4 linked regions of the Diceros bicornis minor genome follow. The protein of the gene in region 2 purifies or fractionates together with the protein of the main gene of each other region. This does not show direct contact. Links are inferred from orthologs where the notes say so. Each region holds a gene or a part of one and is shown on either strand. Other genes may lie near its edges. The genes, in order: WIPF1, NCK1, PAK1 and TNIK.

What was found.
Region 1: the proteins of NCK1 (region 2) and WIPF1 purify together in Homo sapiens (co-immunoprecipitation; 5 studies listed by BioGRID and IntAct, with this or other methods). This does not show direct contact. The link is inferred for Diceros bicornis minor from reciprocal best matches to the Homo sapiens genes NCK1 and WIPF1.
Region 3: the proteins of NCK1 (region 2) and PAK1 purify together in Homo sapiens (affinity purification with western blotting; 8 studies listed by BioGRID and IntAct, with this or other methods). This does not show direct contact. The link is inferred for Diceros bicornis minor from reciprocal best matches to the Homo sapiens genes NCK1 and PAK1.
Region 4: the proteins of NCK1 (region 2) and TNIK purify together in Homo sapiens (affinity purification with mass spectrometry; 3 studies listed by BioGRID and IntAct, with this or other methods). This does not show direct contact. The link is inferred for Diceros bicornis minor from reciprocal best matches to the Homo sapiens genes NCK1 and TNIK.

What each region holds. Positions count from the first base shown.
Region 1 is NC_080749.1:55,574,793-55,582,701, forward strand, and holds the start of WIPF1 (WAS/WASL-interacting protein family member 1), read right to left. Parts: upstream 3,004-7,909; 5' UTR 2,892-3,003; intron 1-2,891. UniProt on the Homo sapiens protein: Plays a role in the reorganization of the actin cytoskeleton. Contributes with NCK1 and GRB2 in the recruitment and activation of WASL.
Region 2 is NC_080741.1:16,032,727-16,040,557, forward strand, and holds the start of NCK1 (cytoplasmic protein NCK1), read right to left. Parts: upstream 3,016-7,831; 5' UTR 2,938-3,015; exon of another isoform or gene 2,903-2,937; intron 1-2,902. UniProt on the Homo sapiens protein: Adapter protein which associates with tyrosine-phosphorylated growth factor receptors, such as KDR and PDGFRB, or their cellular substrates. Maintains low levels of EIF2S1 phosphorylation by promoting its dephosphorylation by PP1.
Region 3 is NC_080746.1:53,894,061-53,901,875, reverse strand, and holds the start of PAK1 (serine/threonine-protein kinase PAK 1), read right to left. Parts: upstream 3,005-7,815; 5' UTR 2,608-3,004; intron 1-2,607. UniProt on the Homo sapiens protein: Protein kinase involved in intracellular signaling pathways downstream of integrins and receptor-type kinases that plays an important role in cytoskeleton dynamics, in cell adhesion, migration, proliferation, apoptosis, mitosis, and in vesicle-mediated transport processes.
Region 4 is NC_080754.1:50,589,135-50,596,342, reverse strand, and holds the start of TNIK (TRAF2 and NCK-interacting protein kinase), read right to left. Parts: upstream 3,011-7,208; 5' UTR 2,669-3,010; coding exon 2,612-2,668; intron 1-2,611. UniProt on the Homo sapiens protein: Serine/threonine kinase that acts as an essential activator of the Wnt signaling pathway. Recruited to promoters of Wnt target genes and required to activate their expression. May act by phosphorylating TCF4/TCF7L2.

The sequences.
Region 1 (7,909 bases), on a different chromosome or scaffold from region 2:
CAGAATAGCATTACTAAGCTAACTGAAGGTTTTCTGGGGGCTTTGGTGAGCCTAGAGTTTTTATTACTCCAAAGTATACAAAAGGCAGTTAGTTATTTTGACCTGACTGTAATCCCTACGTGGTGAGGAACAATTAGCAAATGTTGGGCTGGGCAATACAACGAGGCCGAGGGAGGAAGCATTCATTTGTGGCAGGGAGGCGGAACCTGAACTGTTCCTCAGTTGGAGCTGTGAGGGTGGAAAGCAATGTGAATGTGTTTATTAATCTTCCTGTGCCTGACACACAGTAGACACTTAACAAATATTTGTCAAATGGACAAACTAATCAAGGACTGACTCCCTCCAGCTGGAAGTAATTTCACTCCCCTCTAAATTCCCTTTATTTGATCTGTACCTTTTTTACCTTATTTACCACATTCTGCCTTGCATTCTTGCTCTTTGAAACCATGTCTCATCTCTACCAGAAGGTAAGCGTTCAGGGGCAAACTGCATCTCCTTCTGAGCTAGGTCTCCCCTTCTACTCCTAGCACAGGGCACAGCATCGACTCCATCAGGGAACTTCAATGTCAAATGAGTATCTGGCTTGATTCCAACTGTGACCTGACTCACATATGTGGGTCCTAGCCATTCACAGGTGTAAGCCCACCAAACCTTCCAGCACCATGGCAGAACCGTGGATTGCTAGGACATAGAGGCAGAGCATCCTCTGTATGGAAATCACTAGCAACTTGAGAGACCTCATTGGAGGGCAGGCTTCAGGAAGACCACGGCTCTGAGATACAGAATCCCAAATAGCAGATACTTAAAAATGAAGGGGGTACAGCAACAAATAAAAGGCACTTTTGTTTAGTTTTGTTCTCCTGGTGGGCACTGTAGAAACCATGTATGTTCCTAAAATGACAACCATAGTTAGGAGCACCCTGAAATACCAAAGACAGTGACACAGACCCAATGACGAACACTTCCCACAAAAGGGGGCTCATTCCTGGCCAGAGCACCAAGACACTGTAGCTCTTATCGCTCTTGTGTCTTTGTGCGACCACTGCCTGGTGTCTGGGTGTCCCTCTAATGCCTTGTGCCATCACGTGAGGCTTTTTGCTGTTTCACACTCCATTATCCCACTTGACAGGCCAAAGGGCACCAGTAAGTGGCTGAACAGACAGTAGACACTTAATTGGTCAAATGAATACACAAATGAAAAAAGGCCTGAATCTCTCCAGCTGGAAGTAATCCCATTGTCTCTAAATGTCCCAGAATTTGATCTTACCTTGCTTACAAATCCATTTGCTTTACATCACACAAACCTAAAAGAGTTTATGTGCTTCTCAGGAAGCCAAAGTTATGGCAGAAGTTGGGTAGGTCCCAAGGAAGAAGATGATGTTATTAAAATGCTTTAGTAACACCTGCAGAGTTTAATTTGCACACTTCCATTCAACAGGTAATAGAGTCCTACAGGTGGCTGGGGATTTGGTCCCTGAGAAACTCAACCTTGTGGGGACGATAGGCAGGTAAAGACAGCAAGAGCAGAAGGTAGTATTTTGAGCACTGTAAAGAGTGACTGAGATGCAAAATGCTGATGGCCTATTTGGGGTTCTCTCATCTCAAGAAGTCCAAAGGCGATTTACAAACTGAAATAGAAAATATCCTGGAGTTATTTTATCCGCAATAGAAAAAGGCATTTTTGAGGAGGAAAAACATGCCAACGACTCAGAATGAAGCTACAGTATTGTTCTGAATTGCCTTGAGAAACTGGCAAAAGAAAACCCACCCAGGGCGGGCCTGTGTCCAGGGGCTCCGCTGCTGCACCGCCTGCAGTCTGGGGTTACACGCGGCCAGGGATTGGAGGTGCGGTCCGGGGACTATCCAGGGGACAACAGTGACACGCAATTTTCAGAAAAAGGGACCAAGTCCACCCAGCCACTACTGACAACTCGAGAGTCTTCCTGGAGAACTAAGATAAGGCCAGCAGCCCCTGGCCCAGGAAGGGATATTCCTCCGAGATTAAGCAGGACCAGAGATTTAGCCAGGCCCGGTTCTTCACACAGACACACCCTTTGTTAATCTCAGAGAGGTCAAAGTCTAAGCACCAGTTGAAGATTTGGGTCGCCCCGACTGGGTCAGCTGGTTTCTCTAACATTTGCAACTTTTTTTAACTGTACTTTTTTAAAAAGGAAGAATATGTTAATTGAAAAAGGTTGGGGGAGTGAGACGAAGTGAAGCTGTCCGGAAAGTTCGGGAGAGGCCCGGGAGAGACGCTGACGGGGACTGAAAGTGCCTCTAAGGTCAACGCAAACCTAAGGCGCGCGTCTACACCCAACCCAGAGCGAGCACCCGGCCGGAGGCTAGTTTGGGAGCCGAGCTGCGGGATGGGCACGATGCCCTCAGCGAAGAAGGCGAGGCGGTTCCAGCGCACGAACTGGCCCGGGGATGCCCGAGAGTCCATCCGCCCGAGCTGGGGGTGTAGCTGCGCCCCCAGAGCATCCCCGCGAAGCCCGGGCCGCGGGGAACTGCGGCGGGAGCGGGTCCCGAGCCCCTCGGGCGGCCCCGGGGCCGGCGGAGCCCAGGAAGGCGCCCAGCCCGGGGGGCGCCCGCGTCCGGAGCCCCACCGCCCGCGGCCCCCTCCTCCCTGAGCAACCGCCGGACCCGCAGGACGCGCGGGCCGCGGCGCCCCGAGCTGCGCCCCTCCCGAGGCCGCGCGCCCCGACGTCCCGGGCCGCCCCGCCCGCCTCACCCGCCCCGCGCCCACCCGGTGCCAAGGGCGCTTCTGAGCCCCGGCGTCGAGCCCGGCCCCTCCCTGGCGTCCCGGGCGGCCGCGGGGCTCCTCATGGGCGCTGCCCTGAGACCCCGGAACCGGGTGGCGCCCGAGGCGGCGGCGGCAGCGCGTCCCTTACCGCGCAGCGGCTCCGGGCGGCTCCAGGGCCCCGCGGCGCGCAGGGCATTTTTGGGGAAACTTCTCCCTGGTCCGTAGGGCTGAGCCGGCCGGGCAGGAAAAGCGCTCAGCGCCGGGAGGCTGCGACCATCCGGGAACTTCGCTGAGATGTAAACCCTCCCCCTCGGCTCCCCGTCCCCCCCCTGCGGCCCCGCCACATGTGGACGCGCCGCGAGGCCGCCGCCGGCCCGCCGCCGTCTCCTCCGGGCGCCGCGCCCGCCCTGCCTGTCCTGAGCCTCTGCGCCCCACAGCCCCGGGTCCCCCCGAGGAGGCGGCGGGAGTGCGGTGGGCAGGAGGCTGGGGCTCGTGTGTTCCTCCGTCCCCTTCCCCAGCACAGTGAGGGGACGCGGCCGTGGGGTCCAGGACAAGCTTTGCAGAGGAGCGGGAACTGGAAGGGGGTCCAACCAAGGGCCCTTTCCCCCAAAGACTGCGTCCTCTCCAGCTTCCCGCCGCTGGGGCTCCCCTCCCGCACCCCCAGGGAAAGCTTTTTCCCTATCACCTTCACCTCTGTTCTCAAAAGAGAAGATCCGGCTTTGAGACACCTCGAATTCAAATTCATTTTAAAAATGAATTTTAAAATGGAGTGAAACCCACAGATCCCCAAGGTCCACACGCATCTGTCTCCCCGCCCCCTGTGTGGGGACAACAGTGCTGCTCTCCCCGTGGAAAGCTGCCAGTTCTCCCCACCAATGGGTTGGATTCTTTCAGTAGTTTTGCTGCTGGCGGGGATGGCTCTACCATCAGCCACCCACATCCTCAAATACGGTAGGATCACAGCAAACGTTTGGAGAAAGCTGAGGCTCTCCTCCATTGCGAGAGCTGTTACCACGCCCTGGTCAGCTCTGAAAGCCGCCACCTCCAGGCCCCAAAGAAAAGTTAACACTAAGACGACACAGATATTAGAATGTGTGCGTTTGAAAAGAACAACAACTTTTGATCAATATAATAACCATTTAATCGTATTGTTAAAAGACCAAGGCTGTGTATCCCTTCGAATAAAAACAGAAAAAGTGGGACTATATGCGCTTCAGAACTGATGTCCTAGGCTGAGGAGGTTGTTCATCCTTAACTTTAGGCTGTCTCTGTTCCTACGCTATTCCCAGGTGCACACTTGTACCTTGACATGCTCTTAACAGACACAATAACCCTTCTGGGAAAGAGATTTGGTAACATGGGTAAACTCTTCCCATTGACAAACTTTTGTCCCGAAACATACCCATCTGTTTAAGATTCATTATATATTTGCTTTTCTTTTAAACGATTTCTATGGTAATATGCACATGTTATGTTTTGTATAAAATGAAGACAAGTGAGTTCATATATCAGTATGTTATTCTAGACTTGAAAACAAATCAGGGCCAGCCCGTGGCTTAGCGGTTGGGTGCTCGTGCTCCGCTGCTGGCGGCCTAGGTTCGGCTCCCCGGCACGCTCCAACGCACCGCTTCTCCGGCCATACGGAGGCCACGTCCCACACACAGCAACTAGAAGGATGTGCAGCTATGACATACAACTACTGGGGCTTTGGGGAAAAAGAAATAAATAAATAAAAGTATTAAAAAAAAAAAATCAATAGCACTTATCACAGCGTGGCATGGAAGTGAAGCCCAGGAGTTGTCTGATTTTCTTACCTGCTCTCTAAGCCTCAATTTTTGCTTCCATCAAATGGGGATAACAATAGTTTTTATCTGCTAGCTTGTTGTAAGGAGTAAATGTGATAATCCCTCTAAAGGTGAGTAGAGTAGTGGCACACAACTAGAACAGGAATCTCACTTACCTTTGATATCCCCAAGTCCAGCAGAGCTCCTGGCACCTTGTAAGGAATTGATTAAATAGTTGTTGGGATAAGAACTCTCTTGAGTTTATGTCTTTCAAGAATCTATGTAAATTTTAGCATTAGTGTACACAAAAGAAAATCAGCAAGGTAAAATGCATGCCCCCTCCCCTTATTTCATCATTGGAAGCCAGAACTAAGTGGCGTTCGGAATTGTCCGCTGTTTTAAATCACCAGTAAGGCCAGTGATCAGTTGCCCAGAATGCGCCTGGCTCTCTCTTCTCAGATCCAACACTTCTCTCAATAAGGTCAACGTCTGAATAGTATTTTATCACTGGTAATTTTCTTGTTTCCCTAAGTGGGCTATGGTTATGTAAGATGTTAACATTTGAAGAAGCTGCGTGAAGCAAATATGGAAACATTTATTACTATTTTCACAACTGAATTGTAAATTTGAAATAATTTCAAGCTGAAAAAGTTTTTTTAATTAAAAAAAAAGATCAAAGCCTAAAATTCTACAACAGATACCTTCTTCCCTTGGGTGATGCCAAATCATAGCTTAAAATGAAGATACTGAAGTTAGGAGCGGGCAGAGGTATTATGCTAAAACTTTGCAGTCATGTACACTTTTGTATAAATGAGTTAATAAGAAAAAATGGCTTCTTGAGTGCTGCTTGAAGACAAAGCTAGGCTGGAAATGTTATAATGATCTTGGGATAGGGGAAGGGAGGGAGACAGAAGGACATTGAGACTGGGAAAATTAAGACAAATTTACCAGAGCACAATATTATTAAATACATGTTTGCTTATCATTTCCATGGCTACCATTTTGGGACATACCTTGACCTCTAAACTAGCCCTGTAGTGCCTTAGAAGTTCTGCTCTTATAACAATTACTTTGGGGCCGACCCCATGTTGTAGCGGTTAAGTTCCCGTGCTCGGCTTCAGTGGCCTGGGGTTCGCTGGTTCGGATCCTGGGCACGGACCTACTCACCACTCATCAAGCCATGCTGAGGCGGCGTCCCACGTAGAAGAGCTATAACTCTACAACTATGTACTGGAGCTTTGGGGAGAAAAAAAGAAAGAGGAAGATTGGCAATAGATGTTAGTGCAGGGTCAATCTTCCTCAAAAAAAACACAATTATTTGTTTATTGTAATTGCTTGTTTAATGCCTGTCTTTCCCCTGTAGACAGTAACCCCAATTTGGGGGGAGGGGCATGTGAAGGGAACTGCCTGCCTGGTTCACCGCAGTATTCACAGTACCTGGCACATTCTTAGTCCTCATTACCACTTGATGAATGAATGCCAAGCACTAGGCTTTTACATCTAGTATCTCATTTAATTATCACAGCAACTTGGTGAGTTAGATATTTGTCCCCATTTTACAGATGAGGAAACTGACTTGGAGAGCTTGGGTAACCCACCCAAGATCCCTCAGCTTGTGAAGTTCAGAATCCAGATTATTTTGACACTAACATCCTTGCTCTATTATGCATACTGTCTATTAACTTGACTTCCTGTGTTCGTTCCATCTCTGAGCTTCTGCTGGTATGAATGACCTGAATTGACTAGCGTCCAGATTCCTTTGTGCAAAATAGCAAAAGAAGAAAATATTCTATTTATATTTGCAGAGAATTATTGGGGTTCAGGTAGATCTGGTTAAAGGCGCCATAGTAGCTTGAATGATTTTGGTTCTCTCTTCTGAATTAATGCAGGGAGGAAGTGGAATGCTATGTGGGATAAGAACACCATGACAGCCAGGGCATGGTGCAGGGAATCAGGGTCTGCTGGAGGGAAGGAGTCTGGCTGGTGCTTGGCACCCAATGGGTGGTCAGTACATATTTAGTGGATTGACCAGTCTCTAGAACTGAGAAGACCGACCCCTTGAATGCTGAATGTTTTACTTATTTGGGCCACAACTTACTCCAAAACTTAAAACAGTAAGAGTTGGATATGACGAAACTTAAATCTTAGTCTGGGATGGCAAATTTATTATGTATTTTCAATCTTTATCATTTTCGTTCCTTACTAAAAATATGTTCTAATTCTAAACCATTCAAGTGTTCCATAGCATAAATGTAGAAAGCATCCCCCACAATCCCATTCTCCAGAGATAACCACTGTAATGGTAGGATGTATATTCTTCTCCATGTTTTTTTTCTATGTATCCTTATTTTTTTTAAATCAACAAATATTTATGGAAAGCCTGGGGAATGGGATCATACTATACATCTTCTGTAATTTACCTTTCTATTTCTACTAAGTAATCTATTGCATTAGTTTCCTGTTGCTACATAACAAACTACCAAAAATTTAGCAGCTTAAAACAGCATCCATTTATTATTTCACAGTTCTGTAGGTCAGAAGTCTGAATATGGCATGACTGGATTCTCTGTTCAAGGCATCACAGGCTGAAATCAAGGTTTCAGCCAAGCTGAGTTCTCCTCTGGAGGCTTTGGAGAAAAATCCACTTCCAAGCTCATTCAGGTCAGTGGCAGAATTAAGTTCCGTATGATAGTAGGACTAGGGTACCCATTCCCTTGCTCTCAGTCAGCTGGGGGGCTGTTCTCAGCTCCCAGAGGCCACCTGCATTCATGTCATGTCTCCATTCAGCAATGGAGAATCTCTCTCACGCTGAATCTCTCTCACACTTCCATTGTCTTTTACCAGGAAAAACCCAGTCCCTTTTAAGGGCTCAGCTGATTACATGAGCTCCATTGAGGAAATTTCCCTATCTTAAACTCGACTGATTTGGGATCTTAATTACAACTGCAAAATCCCTTTACATCAGCATCTATATTAGTGCTTGCTTGAACAACTGGGAGAAAGTGTGTGTACACCAGGGAGTGGAAATTTTGGGGGCCAGCTTAGAATCCTACCTACCATAGACATCAAGGTTTATCTTTCCATTTCCCTAAATATAAATCTACATCATTCTATTTAATAGGTACATAGTCTTTCATGATGTATTATATATTGTATATTATATGTATGATGTATTATAATTCAACCAAATCCTCTATTAGAGAACATTTATGTTACTTCCAGTTATTAGCCTTTTAAAAATGCACAATAAACATTCATGCTCTCAAATGCTCATGCACCTATGTACTTCTGTAAGTTAGTATCCTAGAAGCAGAATTGCAGGGTGGAAGGGTTTGCCCTTTTTGATAGATACTGCCAAATTGCTCTCCAAAATGTGAGTACC
Region 2 (7,831 bases):
CAATGTTCCCACAATGCTGTTCCATGATATTATGATACAAGCCCACATAAGATTAAAAACCAAAGGAATGATAAAACAGTAAGGGCTATGGGTTCAAAGGAAAGTAGAGAACAGAAAGAGCTGGAAGATCGCACTGAAGGACCAAAAATGAAACTTCAACAAAATCTGACTTCATTTGCTACTTGGGTAATTAAAGGGGAAGAACTTCTTTTAAAGAATAGGCAGGCTATGCATAGGCATTCAAAGGCGCAACAGATATGAAGGTAGAAAAATACAAAATCTAAACAAGAGATTGGTTTGGTTAGAGCGGACAGCTTCTACAGAGAAATAGTGCTGTCATTAGAAAAAACAGGTTTTGAACAGATTGTCAGAAGACTAGGAATTCTAAACCACACACTGTAGACAACAGGAAGCAGTCACTGGTTCAACAGTGAGAGACATGTTCCAAGCATTATTTTAATTTTAAGGCAGAAGGCAGGACACACTGTGCAGGGAAAAAAGGTAAGCAGAAAACTCAATTAAAAGCTACTGGAAAAGATACCTGAAAGAAATTTCAAGAAATGGCTGACAAAAATTGGCCAATGTTAAGTTATGTGGATAGAGGAAGTCAAAGACAAAACCAAGGTTTGTGTCCCGGTAACTGAAAGCATGATAATATCACCAAAACAAAGTCAGCATATGGAATCGCTTTTGAAGGGAAGACTATAAATTCTATCTTTAGTTTAAAGTAAAGATCATCCAGGGCCGGCCCCGTGGCTTCGTGGTTAAGTGCGCGCGCTCTGCTACTGGCGGCCTGGGTTCGGATCCCTGGTACGCACCAACGCAACGCTCCTCCAGCCATGCTGAGGCCGCGTCCCACATACAGCAACTAGAAGGATGTGCAACTATGACATACAACTATCTACTGGGGCTTTGGGGATAAAAAGAAAAAAAAGGAGGAGGATTGGCAATAGATGTTAGCTCAGAGCGGGTCTTCCTCAGCAAAAAGAGGAAGATTAGCATGGATGTTAGCTCAGGGCTGATCTCCCTCACAAAAAAATAAATAAATAAATAAATAAATAAAGTGAAGATCATCCAGACAGAACCGTTGCCTTAATTAAATAATCTTTAAATGCCATTTTTAGCCCTGTCAGCTGTCTTCCTAAAACAGCACAGCTAAGTACTTACGAAGAATTTGTTAAATTGCTTAGTGATTTCAAGAGTTCCCTCCAATTTTACTTACAGACTAAATAAATAACCATTTAGTCTTCTGGTGTAAGTAGAAAACATTTGGTATTTTTCCATATTATAAAGGTGAGCAAATTGTAAAAGTTTTTAATAAATTATGATACGAAAAAATGGACTGCATCTCTATTTATTTAAATCAAGTCTTCCTGACAAGTGATTGACAACAATAATTACATCAAACCTACCTTGAGCTTTGGCAGGAAAGTTCTCAAAGGTCCAAAAGAAAAACAAATCCAGCAGCATACAGTATCACTCGATGCCTAACAAAACATTCTATGTATGTGTTAAGTTTTATTTACATCGACCTGAAAGCACTGGTAAAATCTAGACTAAAAGATAATGCTTAGAAAAATAAGGCAAACAATTTAAAATTTAATACGTGAACAAGCATAGCTGAGAAGTCTTGAACACTACAGTGTTTACACTATTATATAACTCCTGCAGACCACAATATGCCCAAATAAGAAAATCCCAGAGTTTGTGATCAACATAGCATGAAACTACCGTTAACCAACCAATGCATATTTCTTGCGTTACTATCAAACTGGCAATGGGATGCCTATTTAAGAAATGAACATTATTGACAACTACCAAACAAAACCGTCTTCTTGGATTATTTCTCCATTTACTTTGTGACCTCGCTGCAGACTGAGGTTTAGGCACAGTGGTTTCCAGGTGCTTAATAAACTCTACGGTTGGTTTTTTCATAAATCTACCAAAGTAAGATTTTTAAAAATGAATACCTCTTGCAACACTTACCCCTTTTGACCGGACACTGAGTTTCTTTGCTCACCACCAAAGAAGTGGTTAGAAAATTCTCCTCAACTTCATTCTTGCCTAACTCCAATGGTTCCTTACCAAATCTAACGGGCAGAATTCTTTTTAGGTGGCCAGTTCATCAGTTCAACATGATTTGAGCGCCTATGTTACGGTTCTCACCCCTGAACAGCTTCCCGAGCTTCTAACGGCAAATTGAACTTTTATGAAAACACATAAGGTTACAAACCCAGCCTACCGAGATTTTTTTTTTTTTTACCGGACATGTTACAAATTCAAGGCAAAAGCTCCAATACCAAGCAACTCGCGTACAAATCTACAGTCCACACCACTAAAACAACCCCGCTTTCCCGAGAACCAGGGAAACGCCGGGAGTGGGGAGGGGTGGGGGGAGGGGCAGAGGGCGCATCCCGAGGATGTCCACCCTCGACCCAGGGCACGGCTCCCTCCTCTGCTCTCCGGCTGGAGGTGAGCGCGCCCCTTCCCTCCTCTCCCACGTCCCCACCTTCCCGACCTCGGATTACGCCACAACAGGCAACAGGACTTTTTCGGGAGGAAAAGAAACAGGGAACGCGCGCGCTGCACACTCCACCTCCCAGCCTCACAGGGGCGGCCGGCCCGGCGCTCACCCGGACCTGACACTCCGGGGGCGGCCAGGGAAGCCGCGGGGCCGCGCCGCCCGGGGCTGTAGCCGGAGGTCGCGCAGAGCCGCGGGACAAACGCCCCGGCCCGGCCGAGCGGCCTCCCCGCCCCCTCCGGCTCAGCTCTGGGCCGGCAGACGGCGCCCCCAGGGCTAACTTCGCCGGCGAAGAGGAAGCAACGCAGCGAGTTAACAGGCTGTATGGACGCACGGAGGAAGGAGACACTGCGTGTCTGCCCGGCGGCAGGACCGGCTCACCTTCCCTCTGCCGAGCCTGGGCGGCGCCAGCTCACCTGAGGGCACCGGGACGACGCCGCGGCCACCGCGATGGCCGTTACGGCACGAGGCCTCCCCTCCGCCGCCGCGTAGCTCTCGGGAGAGGGGCGGGGCGCCCGCGGCGGGCGGGCGGGGCTGCAGCTCCGACTGGCCGCCAGGCCGCGGGCGGAGCGTCGCGGGCAGGAAACCCCCTCCTGGCCCAATCTGATAGGCTCTATCGCCGCCTTCCCGCCTACCCCTGAAGCGAGAGCTGCCTGCACCGCGCTGGGATTGGGCTGGCCCGCCTGTCAATCAAGAGCTGGGCTGGGCCTGGAGCGAGCTGAGGCTGCGCGGCGGAGAAAGAGAGGGTGAGAGGCGGGTGGTCTGACTGACTCGCGTTTCTTTTCCTCCGCGCTGAGTATTTTGGTCCTCCTCCTCCTCGGCTTCGCGGGAGACTCCACGGCAAAAATTACTGCTTCCCTGCTTCAGCCCCAACCGCTCCGGGATCTTCCTCCTGGTTTCTGCGCCTGAAGAAGGTCTTGTCAGATGAAGGTTCTTAGGGGCAGGGAGCGAAAAAGAAACCAAAAGGCCTGGAAATGAGGACCTGAGAGAAAAATGTTTAAGACGTATGCTTAATTTGAGCCACAAACCGAAATAAACAGTCTGAGAGGGTTTGAAGTGTCCTGGTGCGTGGGTAGCTTCCAGTCATCTTGTGAGGAGGACAGTGACCCTCGGTGCCAGCTCTGCCCACTCCTAGTGGCCTAGCCCCAGCCGCCTGCTGCTCGGCAGGAAGTGGGTTCTCCACGCCGGTGCTGCAGCCCCCATAACCTGCCTCATTCCTTCCTCTGTGGCTCAGCTGAGGCGTGGCCTCCTTAGGGAACCTTTCCTGGAACACAGGCATTTTCCCCATCCAGGCTGCTGAAATAGTTTGTCCGCATCCCTACCTGGATTGTAAACTCCGTTAAGTCAGGACGCGTGTCAGTATTCAGTTTTTCCCCAGTCCTGGCACAGGATAGATCGTCAGTAAATATTGTTTAAGGCATTAATACATTTTCCTGTCCTTGCTTTAATCCTGGCCCTGACTGTAAGTTCCAAGAGTTCACACTTTTCTGCATTTCACTTTAAAATTATTCATTTGAGTGCTGATAGACTATGTGGTTTGCTTGCCACGTATGGGATCATGAGATCAAGCACAAATCACCTCTGGCCCCTTCCTGGCCTGAAGTTGGCTGGGGCAAGTAGACCGTGAAACTCTGGGCAACAGCTACTGCATGGCTACATCCCATTATTAGCATCCAAAGTGAATAAGTGAATTTTTACTTTATTCTAAGGATCTAAATACCTTTGCATATGTTATCATGGCTGCTATGGACTGAATTGTGTCCTCTCCCAAAATTCATGTTCAAGCCCTAAACCCCAATGTGACTGTACTTGAAGATGTCGGTCATGAGAGGACACAGTGGGCAGGTGGCCATGTGCAAGCCAGGAAGAGAGCTCTCACCAGAAACTGACCATGCTGGCACCCTGATGTGGGACTTCCAGCCTCCAGAACCGTGAGAAATTAAATTTCTGTTGTTTAAGCCACCCAGTCTGTGGTATTTTGTTATGGCAGCCCGAGCTGACTAATAAAATAGTTTTATTTGTTGACACATAAAGTTTATGGATTGAGATATTATTATATTCATTCTTGAAGCTGGAGAAACCATTGTACAGAGGTTAAAACTATTTCTCCAAAATCACACAGCAAACTGTTAGCAAAACCTGGCTCAATTTAATTGTAGTTACATATTTAACTTGATGGGGGCAGGGGGAGTGAATACAAATACAACAGGTAAAGTAGTCCTTGCTATCAGGTAGCTTATACCACCATCTTAAGTGTGGAAAATAAACCCAGAAAAAATATGCTGAAGTCGTAAGTTTAGCTTTTATTTTGTAAGGGAATATGTATTTTGAAGGGGCCGATGATCTAAACAGACCCTTCACAAGATTTTTATCCAAATCTCTTGACCCTTGTGTGCCACCTATTCAAGCAATAGAAGTAAGGGAGAGAGCTTTTTCATACAAGGGTTTTAGTTCCCTGTAAACATGCTTTTTCCTTTTAGTTTTCTTTCTTTTAAGTTTTCTCATCACCCATTCTTACCAGGAACTCTTAAAAAAAAAGAAAAACTCAAAAAATAGATGAAAAAGAGGAGGAATAAAAGAAGGAAAAAAGGAAACAGCAACGAAAGAGGAAAGCATTGGGTGGAAGGGCAGAGAGGCAGAAAGTCGTGTGAAATTGCAGTATAGGGTACTTAGAAGGAATGGAGTCCATGTTCTTATCTTATGGGGTGGAAGTTTTTCCAGACACTTTCTTGCACACACTGTCTCCCCAACTTTCAAACGTAAACACACACGAGGCTGCTGCTTCCTCTCTTTTTGAGGAACTCAAACCAAAAACAGGAATCACTTCTCTTAATTAGTGCTGAGTAGACCAGGGTCTAGCCAGAATCAGGCAAGAACAAAATTTAGGTCAAAACTTATGACCTATGGACTGGAAATGTGGCTTTGGATATGAGAAGCTAATCTGTCTAGGATAAAAACATGCAGGCGGCTTACTTTATTAATCCCAAAGGAAAGGATTTGGGAAGACAAGAAAGGGAAAAATGAGCCTCCATGTCTCAAGGCCTTTCCCAGGAAACTTGATAGCTTATGGTATCATTTCTAACTGTCATTAAGTTATGATAGTTGTGATAGTTAGTTATGATAGAAATGATTAGAATGATCTAGTTTAGCATCACTGTCAAGCAGGACTGTTTAGGACAAAAAAAAAAAAAGCCCTACCTACTAAACAGCAAGAAGTAACTAATCACAGGCTTGATCATGATGTATAGAAATTAGTGGACCCTGGTAACTAAATTTAATTTCTGCATTGAATATTGTTGTAATTTTCTGGGCATTCAACAAAAATTTATTAAGAGTCTACTTTATGGAAGGCATTATGATAGATACTGGAGATCTAAAGATCCATCTCAAATTTAAAGAAGCTCAATTCAGTGTCAGAGAATGAGATTTGGGGGCCGGCCAGGTGGCTCAAGCGGTTAAGTGAGCGCACTCCGCTGCAGCGGCCCGGGGTTCGTTGGTTCGGATCCCGGGCACGCACCCACGCACAGCTTGGCAAGCCATGCTGTGACGGTGTCCCATATAAAGTGGAGGAAGATGGGCGCGGATGTTAGCCCAGGGCCAGTCTTCCTCAGCAAAAAAAAGAGGAGGATTGGCAGATGTTAGCACAGGGCTGATCTCCTTACAAAAGAAAAAAAAAAAGAGAATGAGATTTGAACAGATACTTATTATTAATGTAGTAAATACAGCAATAGATATGTACAGGGGAAATTAAGCCACAGGGGGAAAGGAGTTGTGTGATCAGGCTAGTCTAGCAATTAGGTGGGCAAAGAAGAAAAGGGTTTTCCACATAGAGGGGCCTGATAAAAAAGCTATTACAGGGCCGGCCCCGTGGCTTAGCGGTTAAGTGTGCGCACTCCGCTGCTGGCGGCCCAGGTTCGGATCCCGGGCGAGCACGGACACACTGCTTCTCTGGCCACACTGAGGCCGCGTCCCACGTACAGCAACTAGAAGGATGTGCAGCTATGACATACAACTATCTACTGGGGCTTTGGGGGGAAAAAAATAAATAAAGAAAATCTTTAAAAAAAAAAAGGTATTACACAACAGTAGAACACTGCTGGAGCAGAAGATGATGAGAAATGTGAGCAATAGCGGGTTGTGGAAGTTAAGGACCTTAGACTTTATCCTACAGGCAATGAGAAACCATCAAAGGGTTTTCTTGCAGCACTTTAAAATGTCATTCTCTTGTTTCTGATGAGAAGCCAGCTACAATTCATATCGTTGTTTTCCTGTATTCATGTATCTTTTTCTCTGGCTGCTTTTAAGATTTTGTTTCTTTATCAGCAGTTACACTATGTTTCTAGGTGTAGTTTTCTGTGCATATATCCTGCTTGGTTTCACGTATTTCCCTAGATCTGTCAATTGCTGGTTGTTGTTGTTTCCTTTTATCAATTTAGAAAACTTTTGGCCAATATTTCTTCAAATACTCTTTTCTGCCCCATTCTCTCTCTCTCTCCTTTTCTAAGACTACACTTATGCTAGACTTCTTAGTCCTTAGTACAGGTCATTCCAGGCTGTGTTCATTTTTTTTCAAACCTTTTTCTTTCTGTGCTTCAATCTGGATAATTTCTATGGAAAGCCAGTGTCTAATAATTCCTAGAAAATCTGAATGTTAATATTTTCACAAAAGCACAGACACCCTACTAATGACTGTGGGTTCCTTTGGGGAAGGTTTGGAGACATATTAGTCAAGAAAACAGAAATCACAAGATATTACAACAGAGAGAATTTAGTATTGGGTATTGATGGACTGAAAAAGCAGAAAGGGAACACTGAAGTAGCCCAGAGGTAATAACTGTAGAGAGCAGCTGCCGCCCTAAGGCTTAGTGAAAAAGAGGAATCAAAGTTGGACTATCAGGTGTCAGAAGCTCAGAGGAATGACCCAGCTGAGCTGTAGCTCAGATCCCTAAGAGGCTGCTGTCCAGCTGGTCCTACTGCTACTGACAGGGGAATGATGACGCTGGTTTGGGAGGTGGAGGAGTGCCAAAAGAAGCTCAAGGCTGAGATCAGTTGCTGCTGCTGGAGCAAAGGGCTATTGCGTATTGATGGGGTAACAATGACAGAAACTGCAAGCAAACAGAAGGGAGGAAGTCCTTTCTCCCCTTCTCCTGTCTTCCAGTCTCTCTCTAATGCCCTTTATTGGTGGAACCTAGTGAGACACCAGCTGGCATAGGAAAAATGTAGTTTGCAGGGTATGAGCCATGGCATCATGGAGGAAAGTAAAGAAGGGTGAATTTGGAGCTAAGATAGCTCAATAACAATTGTTTAATA
Region 3 (7,815 bases), on a different chromosome or scaffold from region 2:
GGAATAGAATAGAATGGAATGGAATGGAATGTCAAGCAGTAAGTGCTATGAGAAAAAAGAAGGGAGGGAGGGACCTGGCAAGAAGCTGGTCTTATCAAGAGCAGATCTTTTAACATAGTGGTTCTCAAACTTTAGCAGATATCAGAATCACCTGGAGGGCTTGTTAAAGCAGAGGTTTTGGGGCACCAACCCCAGAGTTTTTCAGTTGTAGGTCTGGGATGGGACAAATCATTTGCAATTCTAACAAATTCCCAGATTATGTTGATGTTGCTGGTGCAGGCACAACACTTGGAGCTATTGTTCTAACCCAAAGGATCAGGTAACCTCTGTCTCATGGGTCTTGACTTGCTTCTTCATTCATACATTCATTCATTCATTTCAAACACTTACTCAGTGCTAGGAACTTTGCTAGGCACTAAAACTAAACAGATCCTGCCCTCAAGAAATTCACAGGTTAATGAAAAGACAGGCATAAACTCAAATAATTGCAATAGAGGGCTGGAGAGCTGTAAGAGTGGTATATACATGAACCAGAGGATGGAAGAGCGACTCATTCTAAGGAAGTAATAGGAGAAGAGATTAAGGTGCTGCTGCCCAGAAGTCCAACAAGCACTTATCCACCGACAGGTAGGGGGTAGGAGGCCGGCATTCTGAACAGAAAGAACAGCACGTGCCAAAGTAGAAATGAGAAAGAGGATGGCAGGGGAGTTAACAGAAAGTAAAGGGGCAAAGGGAGGCCGTAGTCTGATCTCTGAGAGCTTCTTATTCATGTTCAAGAGTTTGAAAACTTATCTTTAGGTAATGACTAGTCAAGGGTGGGAAGAAAAAACGTGATTGGTTTTGTTTTATAAAGATCTCTCTGGAGACATAGTGCCCGCCTTTCAGAAAGCACTGCTTCCTCCAAGCCTAACACGGGGCTTCATAATGTGCTTAGTAAACGATATTGAATTGAACTGAACAAGCTTTTTGTCTTATAAATGAGAGACAGGTCACCACCTTCCCTGCAGGACTCACTTTGGCCAGGACAAGACTTGTAAAGCAGGTCCAGCAGCCTCAATTATTGCACCCTACTCCCTGTACAACGGGAGTCCCCCAGAGATTAGGGCAGGCCTTCATTGTTTACATGCCGACCTCACCCACTAGACTTTGAGCTCTTTATAAAGACAAGGAATGTCTGAACAGCCCCCATAGTTCTAGCAGGAGACCTGAAACAGAGTAGCTCTCCAGACTCCAGTAATGTTGGGTAAATGAATGACTGAATAAAGCAAATTTACCAGCCAGACCTAGGAGCCCCTATAGGTAAGGTTATAGACAAGCTTCAGAGACTGTTTCTGGGTTTATGTTCCCAAAACCGTTTTGGAGCAGTGGAGTTTCTAGGTGAGGTGAAGTGGATTTCATATGCACCTGGTTTAAGATTTCCCAAATAGGAACAAAGAATGTTACAAGTGCTGTAGTAGAAACCCTACCAGGCCTCTGAGGGCCTCAATGAGAAGTCAGTTTTGCCTGAGTAGTTTGGGGGTGAATGCCAGCAAAGACTTCATATGGGGTGGAGAGGGTTCTTCAGTGGAGTCTTGAAGGCTGAGTAGGCGCTTGTTACCTGCCTGTTTCTAGGGCATAAATGCAAACCCCCGGAGCTTTAAGGCTGGAAGTGACCTGCCCAAGGTCACACAGGAAGTAGGTGAAGTCACAAGGTGAGACCAATGAGGCATCTATGTACCGTGTACTGTTGACTGTTTTCTCCTGACAAAGTTGTGAGAGTCCAAAAACACAAGAGGAAAAACTAAAACAATTTTCTCAGGAACAATTCTTAAAATAAAGGCTAGACTAATGCATTTGAATTTTTATTGGTAACCGTAGTACTAACTCTTCCCTTCACCTTTCACAGTTCTGGAGGGGAAAGTCTAAGACAGTTATCCAAGGGGTTTAACAAACAAGCACTTTGCTCCCAACACCCAAAACTTCTCAAGTATTCTTCCAAAACACTCCCAGCATTTTTTGCTGTTAAAATATTCAAGACAGTAAAGGCTATAATAATGTCTTTTGAAATGGAAAAAGGAACATAAAATAGCTATAATTCTCCTTTCCCTGTGTTTTTAACTCCACAAGTTGCCGAGTACCCGGGGTGGGGGAGGGGCTGCAAACCCAAGCACCATCCAGTCGTGTTTTTCAAGGAGCTGAACCCTCCAGGTGAGTCCCAGGCCCGGACAGGGGTGCGTTTTCCAGGCAGAATGAGTCGGACGCCCCTGTGCTCGGCTGCCCCGTGGGGGCCCAGGGTTAGCGCCGGACGACTGCAAAGTTCGCGAGGGAGTCGCTCCGCGCCCGGGACCTGTCGGGGCTCCCGGCCCCTCCCCTGCCCCCTCCCGGGTCCCCGGGGTCCCCAGCGCCTGAGCCCGGCGGCCGCGCCGGGGGTGCAGGGGGCCTTTGTTGGTCCGACAGGAGCGGCCAGCCCCGCCTTGCCTCACCTGGGGCCCCCGGCCGCCCGCCCGACCCCGGCGCGCGGAATGAATGGGCCCAGGCCCCTCACCCCGCGCCCGCGCCCACGAGCACGCCCGCGCCCCGCCGGGCAGCCCGGCCGCCGGGGGTACCGGGCGGGAGGCCGGCTCTCACCTTCCGCGCTCACTCGGCTCTACTCGGCTCCTCCTCCTCCTCCAGCCGGTGGCGGCGGCCGAGCCGGGAAGGGAGCGCACGGGGAGCCGCTTCACTTTCTCCCTCCCGCCGCCGCCGCGCGCTCGACGCCTCCCCCACCCCGCTCGTGCCGGGAGTCCCCTCAGGACAGGGGGGATCAGCGACCGAGAGGCGGGCCGGAGGGAGCTGGGCGACGAGGCTGAGGGGGTGCGGTGGGGGGTGGGGCCTTGAGGGGGCGCGGGCGGACTCTGGGGGAGGAGGTGGGGAGACGGTTCTTTGAAGGGTTTTGAGAGCGCGTGAAAGAGGGGACAGGAGTCCGAGGGGAAGCGTCTGTGGAGTAGGACGGCAGAGCGGTGAGGGAGGCGCGAGGGACGCAATGAGGGGCGTCTCCTGTGCTGCCGGCACCTTGGGCTCCAGATGCAGCCGGGGCCGGGTCGCCTCCCCCGCCCGCCCCGCGCTATTGTATGCCGCCGGCCCGGGCCGACCTCCTCTCCCCCGGCCCCCGCCCCTCCCCCGGCCCCCGCCCCTCCCCCGCGAGGCCTCGGCGCCGGCGGAGCCCGGCCAGCCCCGCCTCCCGCAGGTGGGAGGGGGCGGGGAGGACCGGACAGACACGTGAGCGAGGCCGACCCAGGCGAGGGGGATGGGGAGCGCCTTGAATGACGTCATCGGCGCATGACGCCAGATGGTGGGGAATCACCCGGCTACCGCGTGACGTCATTGCGCCCGCGTCTCGCCTCTCACCCCGTACTGTCTGCCGGTGCAGGCTTTTTTTGACGTGCCCTGTCCCCGGGAAGGTTTGGGGACGATTTCTGGAGGCATTGGTGGTGTAGTCAGGGTCAAAAAAGACAGCTAATCCCCTGGTTTTGTGGTCTTCGGGTTACAAAGCACCACAGAATCCTCTGGGTCATTGCCAAAAGCTGAATTTGAAAACTACCTCATCTCCTGTGACCTCAAAGGCAGACATTTATTATACTATTTGCTTTCTTTGCGGGGGGAGGGCCAGGGAGACAAAGAAATGACAATGGAGGTTTGAACTATCTTGAAATAAATGGGTTCCCTTTCCCGTTTTTCTCCTACCACTGAGGCTACATTCAACCCAAACCTTTCCCCTGAGCTCAGATTCTGTATTTCCGAGTGCCTCGTGGACAGCGTCGTTTGCATACTCGACTGTACCTCAAATTCCACAAGTCCAAAACAGCGTTAGTGGCTAAGGGAATCATTGCCTTGGTTCAAATCCCAGCTGTAGAAATGTTAGTGATAGGACCTTAACCTTTCCAAGCCACAATTTCTCCATAATAAGTAGTACCTGAGTATCCTTAATTTGATCTCTCTAAGCCCCAGTTTTTCCCTAATAGTAATAACTACAATTTAGCACGTATTAAACCCTTGGGAATGTTGGCTATTCCTATTACCATTTTCCACCAAACTTGTGACTCATGCTGTTTCCTGGTCTCAGTGAGTGGACCACCATCCAGCAGTCCCCTAAGCCAGAAACATGGACATAGCCCTCATTCTTCCTCTTTCAACACCTTTATCAAATTAGTCCCCAAATCCTGTAGAGTCTCCTTAATATTTCTTGAGTCCTTGCCCTTCTCTTCACTCACTACCTCCTGGACAACTGGAGCAGGTTTCAGCCTCTCCAAATCCAATCCATTCTTACATACAGGGTAGCTTTTTAAAACCACAAATCTGATGATGATCACTTTTAAATACTGTTTAAACACTCTGAAAGGCTTTTGTTGCTTTTAGGATAAAGTCCAAACTCCTTAACTTGGCACTGTACAACCTTGGTGCTTAACAACAGCCTTTCCAGCTTCCTCTCACACATGTTATCTTTTGCTCCAGCCACACTGAAATACTACTTAATGTTCTTTGAACACACAGTTCTTCATTTCTCTGGGCTCTTCTCTCTTTATGTCATTGGCCAACACTCATTCATTCTACAAAGTCCAGCTCAAATGTCATGTTCATTTATTCATTTGACTAATATTTCTTAGTTTCTCTGAGCCTTCACAATGCTGTAATCCGTAGTACTTCCCTGCCTTTTATGGCGTGTAGCACACTGTGTGGTAACTGTACTTGTGTATCTGACTCCCTGAGCCCCTCGAAAGCAAGTCATATTCCTGTCCATGCTATCTGGATCCCCAGTGTCTGACACATAGTAAGAATCAATGTTATAAAAATGTATTTAATAGATGTTCACATAGTGCTTACTATGTGCCAGATACTATTCTAAGCACTATCTCCTTTAAACCTCTAACAACCCTTTGAGATAAACTACTGTTATTCCCCCATTTTATTGATGAGGAAATGGAGACAAAGGGGGATTAAATAACTTACACCGACAGTGAATTATTCTAAACGAAACTGTTTTTGCATGGTCTCTGTGTAGGCAGAATAATGGCTGCCTAAAAATGTTCACATCCTAATCCCCAGAACCTATGAGTATGTTACCTTCCATGACAAAAGGAATTTTGCAGGTGTAATTAAATTAAGGATCTTGAGATGAGGGGGTTATTCTGGATTATCCAGATGGATTTAATGTAGTCACAAGGTTCCTTAAAAGTGGAAAAGGGAGGCAGAAGAGTGAGGAAAAAGTCGATTAGACTACAGAAGAGGTCAGATGTGAGATGTGATTCAATGTGAGAAGCACTCCGCTCACCCTTGGAAGACAGAGGAAGAGAGCTACCAGCTAAGGAATAAAAACAACTCCAAAAGCTGGAAAAGGCAAGAAAACGGATCCTTTCTTGGAGCCTCCAGAAAGGAACAGGGCCCTGCCAACACCTTTTAGCCTAGTAACACCCATTTTGGACTTCTGAACCCCAGAACTATAAAATAATGAATATGTGTTGTTTTAAGCACTACATTTGTGATAATTGGTTACAACAGCAATAGGAAACTAAAACAGTCTCAGATCAAGGGCGGCTGCACTATCCTAACAAGTGGGAGAGGGCTACTTGCTAGAGGTGCAAGCTTCTCAGTTGCATCCACCCAAATATCTCCATCCCAGCCTCGGGGTCCCACTCCCACCTACAAGAACCCTGGCTTTAGCGTTAAGAGAACAGTCAAAGGATCTCTGCCACCCTAACTATTACATTCTGGGCCTGATTTTCAGCATAGTCTGCTTTCCAGCTTCAAGAGAAGAGAGTTTTTAAAAAATCTTCCATGGAGCTCTTTTGGCTTTCATACCTGGTCCTGAATTGACAGGTGGATGACCTGAGCCTGAAATTCTCTTTCTTCAAGGCTTTTAAGATAGTTAACAAAATCAAGCCAATGCTACGAAATTAATTAACATTACCCCCATACCATTCAAGTGCTAGAGCATGCATTCTCAATGGGGGCAACATCTCCCCAAAGGAAGTGAAAACTGAAAAAATATCTTAGATATTACAATGGTTTGTGGCCTCCAAATCTCAACCCTATTTGACAAAATCTTATTCCTTAGTATTTAACTTCTCTGGCCAGGGATGCTTTATTTTTATGTACTTTTTTATTGAGATATAATAGACATATAACATTGTATTAGTTTTAGGTGTACAACATAATGACTTGATACATGTATATATTGTGAAATGGTTATCACCATAAATTTTGTTAACATCCATCACCACATATAGTTACAAATTTTTTTTTCTTGTGATGAGAACTTTGAAGATTTACTCTCTTAGCAACTTTCAAATATACCAAGTAATATTGTTTACTATAGTCACCATGCTGTAGATTACGTCCCTAGGACCTTATTTATCTTACAACTGGAAGTTCATACCATTTGACCACCCCCCACCTGGGATACTTTAAATTTAATTTAATTTCTCTCCTTAGGAGGGTAATATTTAAAATTAAATTAAATTAAAAAGGTTGAGAATCCCTGTGCTACAGTTACTGCATAATCTGATGTTCTCCTTCCACTTGTGCTTCCAGTCTACCGCGAGTGAAGAGCTTGGTTGTTGGGACAGCACAGCATGTCAGGGTCTATCACTGCTCAACTTACCACCAACAATAGAGTCCTTGTTGCCGTATGATCAGTGAGTGATTCAGTCCAGAATCCCATCCTGAGGGTCTTTACTCTGGGATAACTCTTGGTCTCAACTACCTGAGTTTAGGTCTCCCAAAATCAGAGCCTGAGATAAATACTTGGGTGTAGGTAGTTTATTTCGGTGTAGGTAGTTTATTTTCCCAATCCTAGGAAACTGGAATGAGACGAGAGAAAGGGAAAGCCAATGTAGCGTGTGTTATTGAGGTTCTCACTTCTGTCAGAACTTCAGAGAAGCATACAGAATGCCTCCCAGAATAGACCACCTGGAAGATGAGAGCTTTTGTCTACTGGCTTCCATCTCTCATTGAGTGAGGGTTATCCCCAGGGCTGTTGACTCCCCTAGACGTTGTGGCTTTGTTTGCAAGTCTAGCAAGTGACTACAGATGTCAGAGAAGGTCCAGAGGCAGAATAAGGAAAGATGTGAAGTGTACATTTGAGGTGACACACTAGCAGCATGAGGGGAGTTGGAACTGTTCACCACAATTGCGGCTGAACTCAGAGGTGGTCTAAGGGAATGTGACAACAAGTACCAGAGATGTCTGCTACAGACTAAGTAGGTTTCATTTATACATTCACATTGTAAAACCAACTTTAGTAGATAATTGCAAACCTGCTTTCCAAAATAATTGAACCAATTTACACTCCCACCAGTTATTCCATATCCCCACTAATACTTGGTATTATCAATCTTTATTATTTTAATCATTCAGGCAGGTATGTAGTGATCTTGCATTATTATTTTAATTTTCATCCCTTTGATTACTAATGAGGTTGAAAACCTGTTTGTAAGTTTGTTGCTCATTTGGATATCCTCTTTTTTTTTTAAACTTATTTTCTTTCTTTTTTTGGTGGTGGGGGGAAGATCGGCCCTGAGGCAACATCTGTTGCCAATCCTCCTCTTTTCTTCTTTTTTTTTCCTCCCCAGAGACCCCAGTACATGGTTATATATCCTAGTTGTAGGTCCCTCTAGTTCTTCTGTGTGGGACGCCACCTCAGCCTGGCTTGATGAACGGTGAGTAGGTCTGAGCATAGGATCCGAACCGGTGAACCCTAGGCCACGGAAGCGGAACATGTGAACTTAACCGCTGCGCCACTGGGCTGACCCCTGGATATCCTCTTTTGTGAAGTATCTGTTCAGATCTTTTGCTCAAGCT
Region 4 (7,208 bases), on a different chromosome or scaffold from region 2:
AAAGGGTTTACAAAAAGAGCATTGACTGTGTACACTAAAGAGCCACCGAAACAGCAAGGGACTGGTAAGGCTGCATCAAATTCTCCTAGAAGCCACTGACCTTGGCTGCATTTCAGGGGTCAGGCATTCCCCAGGAGGTTCTCAGCAGGCTGGCTTTACTGAGGATTTAGGAACAAATGGACCTCTCATCTAGATTAGCCCACCTCTCCTGATTTGGGAAGACAGAGAGATGATCTGCCCTCTGATTTGTGGAGATTACCTATGTGGCCTTTGAACCCACTCGGGGCTTGCACACCTCACCCACCACAGGGCTGGTCACAGACCCTAGCCCTCTGGATGCATCTATCTCCACATGGGCATTTAAGTTCTCCAGCCAGCAGTTCCCCAGCTCCTGAGCTCGCTCTAGCCCTCTCTTTCCACACCTCCTGCAGGCAGAAATAACAGAGGCAGAGCACTAAGCCCAGGCCACAAAGAGCAATGTCAGTGAATCCTGCAAAGATATCTTTTCAAAACACAGATCTCAGGATCACAGCCCTCCCATGTGTGGATTGCACTCCAGGCCAGCTGGTGGGCCCTCAGGGTGGCTCACAAGCCTGCAGGCTCTGTGCTCGGTATCTCAGAAAACCCTCCCCAGGAAAATAAGCCCACGAGAGAGACCTCTGACTGAGCCCAACTTAAAAATCACATCAGAGCGCTTTCCATTAGAGGAGTGACGTCGAGATTCCAGCTCAGGGAAATCACAAGCCTTGCCCATTGTTCAGACTTCATGCCCTGCCTTTGCCACTTTCCCCTACCCTGAAGTCTGGGCCATCTATCCACCTGCTTAACCCGCTGGCAGCAACTCCCAGCGCAGAAAGTAGGGCAAATGAACACAGTCTATAAAGCAGGAAGCCACAGACTTGGCCCAAGCACCCACCCTGTTACCAACCCCCACCCCCAGCTGCCCAGGGGGCAGCGGGTTCTGAATGTGGCGTTTCGGCGCCAGGGCAATAGACGGCTTACTGTACGAACATATGAATGGGCTTTTGCTGCCCAACTATCAAAAAAGCCAGTTTCAAATGGCATCTCTTGTTCCTTCTCAACCCCTTGACTGCCTTGCAGAAAACTCACCTCTTGGATGGAAGGATTCAGGAGAAAGGGAAGGGGAGCATAAAAGGGGGGGATAGGGAGGGGGGATTGGGGAGACTAAAGAAAAAGTACCACTTTGACCATAAAGGTAAGTCTTTAAAATAACCGTGGATGAGGAGGCAATGTCACAAGTACTGAAGATTCAGGTACACAGCGCCGAGATTTAGCATCAGTCTAACAATGTATTCCTCGGGAGGGCGTGTGAACTTCCGAGCTTCACCCATCCCGCCTGTCTCCGCGTTGAGAGCCACCATCAATTCGGTCTCACCGACCCTCCATGCCTCAAGTATATGAAGCGGCTTTGGCTTTTTTTTTTTTTTTTAATTTTATTTTTGGTTCAGGAGAGGAAGAAGCCGTCCTTCAATTGGTGTCCAATCCTTCTCAGTCCCCCCGTTGTTGCTGCCACCCCCACCCCTCACCCCCTTCCCCGCAGGCAGCATCTAATTAAAATGGCAAGAAAAATCTGCCCCCTTCCCCAAAGGAGTGTGTTGGGACTGAGGGGTGGGGGTGGGGTGGCGTCGGGGCTGCACTGGGATTCCTGGTATTCTCATCTCAAAACAACAGCAAAATGGATTCTATACCAGTGATGTCTTAGTCAATACAATGAAACGGCAATTCACGTGAAGGTAAATGCAAACCAGCGGGGCCGAGAGGGGAAGGGAAGGGCTCTACAAAGGACTGGCCGAAGACACAGGGAAAATACACACACACACACTCACACACACACTCACACTCACTCACTCTCGGGAGTTCCGGTCTGATTGGGGAAAGGCAGAGAACACATCCTTTTCACCTGCTTAAGTTCAGCCATAAAACTGAAATGTCACAGCCACAGAGTCGGAAAGCACAGGCAGGGCTGAGTTAAAGCCATAAATAAAGGTGAGTGACAGACTGGCATTTAAGAGAGCGCTGAGAGGGAGTCGGGGCGCAGAGGGCAGAAAAGGGGGAAGGGGCGGCAGTTGCCATCGACAAGACTAGCATAGCAATAGCTGTCCCCTTGGAGGGTCAGGTTCGGCTTCGTGGGGAGAGCCAGGCTCACAATACCATCTTGCAGGTAGCTGGAAAACGTGAGGACCCAGTGCCTTTATTCACGCTGTTCTTCTTTTTGCAGAAAGGGACAGTGGGGTCTCGCGCCTTGGCACGAGACGACTGCCCGGAGCTTGTGTACACACACACACACACACACACACACACACACGAGCTTTTCATTTTAATGCTCTTACTCCGGTCTAAGATGAAACTGGCATAAGCTCCACGTGCCCTCGGGGGAGCCTCGGCCACAAACGAAGGAGGACACGTACCGCACAGCCCCTGCCGTGGGGGCTTAGCCAAGAGCACCTCAACAGCCCGGAATCAAAACCAGAATCCAGGTTCCGTCCGCGTCGCATTCCCCCACCTCTGCCCACCAGCTCCAGCCCCAGTCCACGCACCGAGCCCATTTACCCTGACCCAAACCACTGGAAAGAAATCAAAACGTGCTCACCCTCAGAGCCGAGAGATCGATTTCATCCAGGCTGCGGGCCGGGGAGTCGCTCGCCATGTCTACTTCTTTGCCGGAGAAATGGACCAAAACCACCCCGAAGCTTCTCCCTTGGAAATTCCACCTTGGTCTATCTCACTCGCGTCCTCATGCGGGTGTCGCGCCAGAGGCCCGGGGCCCAGCCTCCCCCGCCCACCCCCGCCCCACAGCGCCTGATCCCGATCCTCCGCGCCTCGGTCCGCGGGGTCCGGGAGCCCAACCTGCGCGGATCTCCAAGCCCGGAGCCGCGGTGTGTGTGGGCTGCGCGCCCTGATCGGCTAAGGGCGCTGGGGCTGCGTGGGTGTATTTAAATGGGACATGCTTCTTTGCTTGTGCGTGGATGGCGGCTGCATTGGCTGTTATAATGAGACACATCAACTCCTCCACTCAGCTGGGGGGGGTGGGGGTGGAGAACCACACAGAACTGTCTATCACCGCTTCCTGGGAGGAGTAAAGGGGGGGGAGGCGGAGGAGGCGTGGTCTCCGACTGGGGAGAGGCCGCGCTTCCTGACCCGGTCGCTCTGCACCAACGTGTGTGGGGGAGGGGCGCGCACCCTTTCCGCCCAGGCTTTTGCTGGCTAATCCGGCCGGATTTGAAGAGCTGTCCCTGAACTCTGCCGTGCTTATCGTGAGGACAAGGGGGCTTTATTTTTGTGTGTCCAGTTCATGCGCTGGAGCAAAATGGCCCTTCAATCGCATCTGGGGGTTTCTCCACAGGGTTCAAATACTCTAGCGCTGAAAAAAATCCAGAGGAAAAAAAGAGCGACGCCCTCCCGCCCCCATTAATTATTTGTGGGGCTGGAGTAACGCGGGCTGGTGCAACCGGTGCATATAAGGACTTGTGTGCTGGGAAGGGGATCCGCCTCCAGCCGCGGAACGAATGGGGGAGAAGCGCACTCGCACAGCGCGCCCAGCCCCGCGCTTTGGCAATGTGCAGCGGCCGCTGGGTCGGGTCTGCCAGCGGTCCCTGGGATTCCGGATGGCGGGTCTCGAGGGCCGGTCACTCGCCGTTTCGGAGCTGGGAAGGTTTGCCAGAAGCGGGAAAGCTGGGAGATCTGAGCTCCCTCTTGGCATCGCCACACCCAGGACCTGCCCGTGCCGCAATTCCCCACGGAAACGACCGAATAGAAACGAGAAGCTTGTTCTCTGGGTGCAGTAGCTTGAATGCTTCAGGTAACTCCAAAAGCAAGACTGGGTATGGCAACACTCGCCGCCTCAGGACCCTGCATTTCCCCTTCAGGCAGCGTTTCCGCGGCTGACCTACCCAGATTGATGGAGAAAGTTTGGCTGGGGGAAGAAGATGGAACGTAAAATGTATGTAAATCGCGTGAGAGCGATTTTACTCCGCCCGCTTTCTCATTTAAAGACTGAACGTTTACAGTGGTAAACACGACATTCTGTTATCAAGCGTGTGAAGTCATTTCCCCCAACTCCCCGCACAGCCCCTCCTCTCCAGCCCTGGTGGGCACGCGAAATACATGCGAAGAAACGCTAAAATTGAACTTTCCCCCAAATACAGCAGTAGCTTTGAAAGCATTATCTGCACCTCTGTTAAGATGAGCATTTACTTCTGGCCAAGTGCTCTGCGGGTTTTTTAATTGTGTGATGTGAATATCAGCTTCAGAATAAGGCTTTTGAGTGAATGAATGAAAGCCAAGGCAGTCAGTTCATCGCGTCTCCAGGCTTTACAAGACTTTGACACAGCATTCGGTATACGCTGTGCTGTGTTTGTTAATATTACTGTATCTATTTATGTGCGTTGTGGATCATGAAACTTGAGATTATTCCAACATCTTAGTGGCCACAACAGTAATGTTTAGGAGCTTTTACCATTAAAACGTCAAACGTTTAAACGTGTTGTATTCAAAACGCTCGGTTTCATCTCTCATGTTTTTAATAAAATCATCCAGCTCGAGGTTGTAAGTAACGTGCAGTAAGCCACCAATAATGTCGAAACGACGTTAAAAACTATCATTTCCCATCAACATCGTTATTTTTCCCTTCTCTGTCCCTTTGTTATCCTTAATCTAGATGACAGGTTAATGTATTGTCTCAATGTTGAAAGAAAATAATTTAAGATCAGATATTGAGATCTATGAACAGAACTATTTTTAAAACTCCAGGTCCGGCCCGTGGCTTAGCGGTTTAGTGCCCGGGCTCCGCTACTGGTAGCCCGGGTTCGGACCCGGGCGCGCACCGACGCACCGCTTCCCCGGCCATGCTGAGGCCGGGTCCCACATACAGCAACTAGAAGGATGTGCAACTATGACATACAACTATCTACTGGGGCTTTGGGGGAAAAAAAAAAAGGAGGACGATTGGCAATAGATGTTAGCTCAGAGCCAGTCTTCCTCAGCAAAAAGAGAAGGATTAGCGTGGATGTTAGCTCAGGGCTGATCTTCTTCACAAAAAAAAATAAATAAATAAAATATTTATTAGACAGGGTATCACCCCAGGGAGCTGCTCACCAATTGCCAGGAGAAATGGGAACACACACCCAGAAAGCAAACTACCTGCATCCCCTGCCCTGTACCATGTGCTGTCCTGCCCCCCTCCCCCCCTCGGCAGAGCAAGCACTCAGAATTAGAATTGGCACCACAGATAGGCAAATCAGATTTCCAAACACTAAGATGCACAGACAACCCAGAATTGCCAATCATCCCTAGAAATCTATTACTATGAAAGAGAGACCAACTTCAATCAACAAATGATTGAACACCCAAAGTTATTTTTAATAGAGCAAAAACAAATTTTATAGTATATATTTTTTAATCATCAGAGGGATAACACAAGATCTTACATTCACAAAACAATGAGGTTGTTATGAAAACAAACCAGTTAGAGGACTAATTAAGAATATATTTATTGAAATTTTAAAAATGAATAGATAGATTGAACAATAATAATACTTTGCTGCAAATACTCTTCTCAGCATTCATATATTAACATTTAATCTTTATAATCTTATAAAGTAGGCAATATCATTAGCATATTCATTTTACAGAGGAGTAAACTGAAGAATAGAAAGGTTAATTAACTTACTTAAGACAACACAGTAATAAATGGCTGAGCCAGGATTTGAACTCAGGCTCTTAATCACCATGCTGTACTGACTCAGGCTGAACTGAAGGGTGAATTAGTAAACTAGAAGGTTGGGCCTAGTTTTCTTCCAGATTGCAGGAAAAAAGATAAAGCAATGAGCAAAATTTTAAGTAATATGGAGAATAAATTTAGAAGTTCTAACATTCATCTAATAGGAGATCTGGAGAATGGATGGAAGGAGATACTTAAAGAAATGATAGAAAATGTTCTAGTGTCTTCAGGCTAAAATCTCCTGTTTAGTGAATAAGTAAAAAATACTACACTCTAAGGCATCATGATGGAATTTCAGAGCATTAAGGATAAAAAGAAAATTCTAGTCACCTACTCCTCATTAGCAACAATGGATGCTAGTAGATAATGGAACAAAGTATTCTAAAGGAACTGTTAGAATTCTCTACCCAACTAAAGTAACATTTAAGAAAGAGTATAGAATAATGACATACTTTCAGACACATAAGGATTCAAATGGTTGATCATCTCTTAAATTATCATTGGAAAATATATTCTACCAAAGAATCCAGAAAAAAATGTGCCACACAAAAGACAATGGTAAGCAAATGTAGCAGACTGTTATCCACTCAAAGTCATTCTCTTTCTTCTTTACTAGGAAAATTCTGATTTTGAGAATTTATCCTCCACGTGTTTAAAGAATATGGGTTCTCCCCAGCCCCAGAGGGAGAGTGAATGTTAAATAGTCTAAACTCCTCACAGTAATTCTATTCTCTCTCCTAATGATTAGTTTAGACAAAGGCATATCATGCAACACTGACTAAAGAAAAGTCTGGTGGGGGTTATAAGAATGATTTTCCTCTTTGAAAACTTAAAAAAGAAAAGAAAGAAAGAGAAGAGAAGAGGGCCAGGGAAAGCTTCCTGCCTATGGTAGCCACCCTCCAAGATGGCTCCCTGTGAGCCTCACCTCTTGGTATTTAAACCCTTTGTAGATCCCTCCAACATAGAACACAGACGACTTCTAAAGCTGGGAAGTAAAAGGCAATTCAGCTTTTACCTTGTTCTCTTGGTTCACTTGTTCTAAGGCAGAGTTTCTCAACCTCAGCATGTGTCTGATAATTCATGCTGTGGGGGCTTGTCCTGTGTGGTGTGGGATGTTTAGCAGCATCCGTGGTCCCTATCCACCAGACGCCAATAACATCTTCCCAGTTGTGACAAACAAAAATGTCTCCAGACATTGCCAAGGGTCCCCTGGAGAACAAAATCACCCCCAGTTGAGAACCACTGCTCTAGGGGAAGCCAGCCACCATGTCCTGTGGATATTCATGCAGCTTGCCAGCTGTGTGAGTGAGCCTCCCTGAAGTAGATCTTCCAGTCCAGTCGAGCCTTCAGATGACTGTGATCCCAGCTGGCCTGACTGCAAACTCCTGAGAGATCCTGAGCTAGAACCACCCAACCAAGCTGCTCCCAAATCCCTGACCCACAGAAACTATGAAAAATAATAAATTTT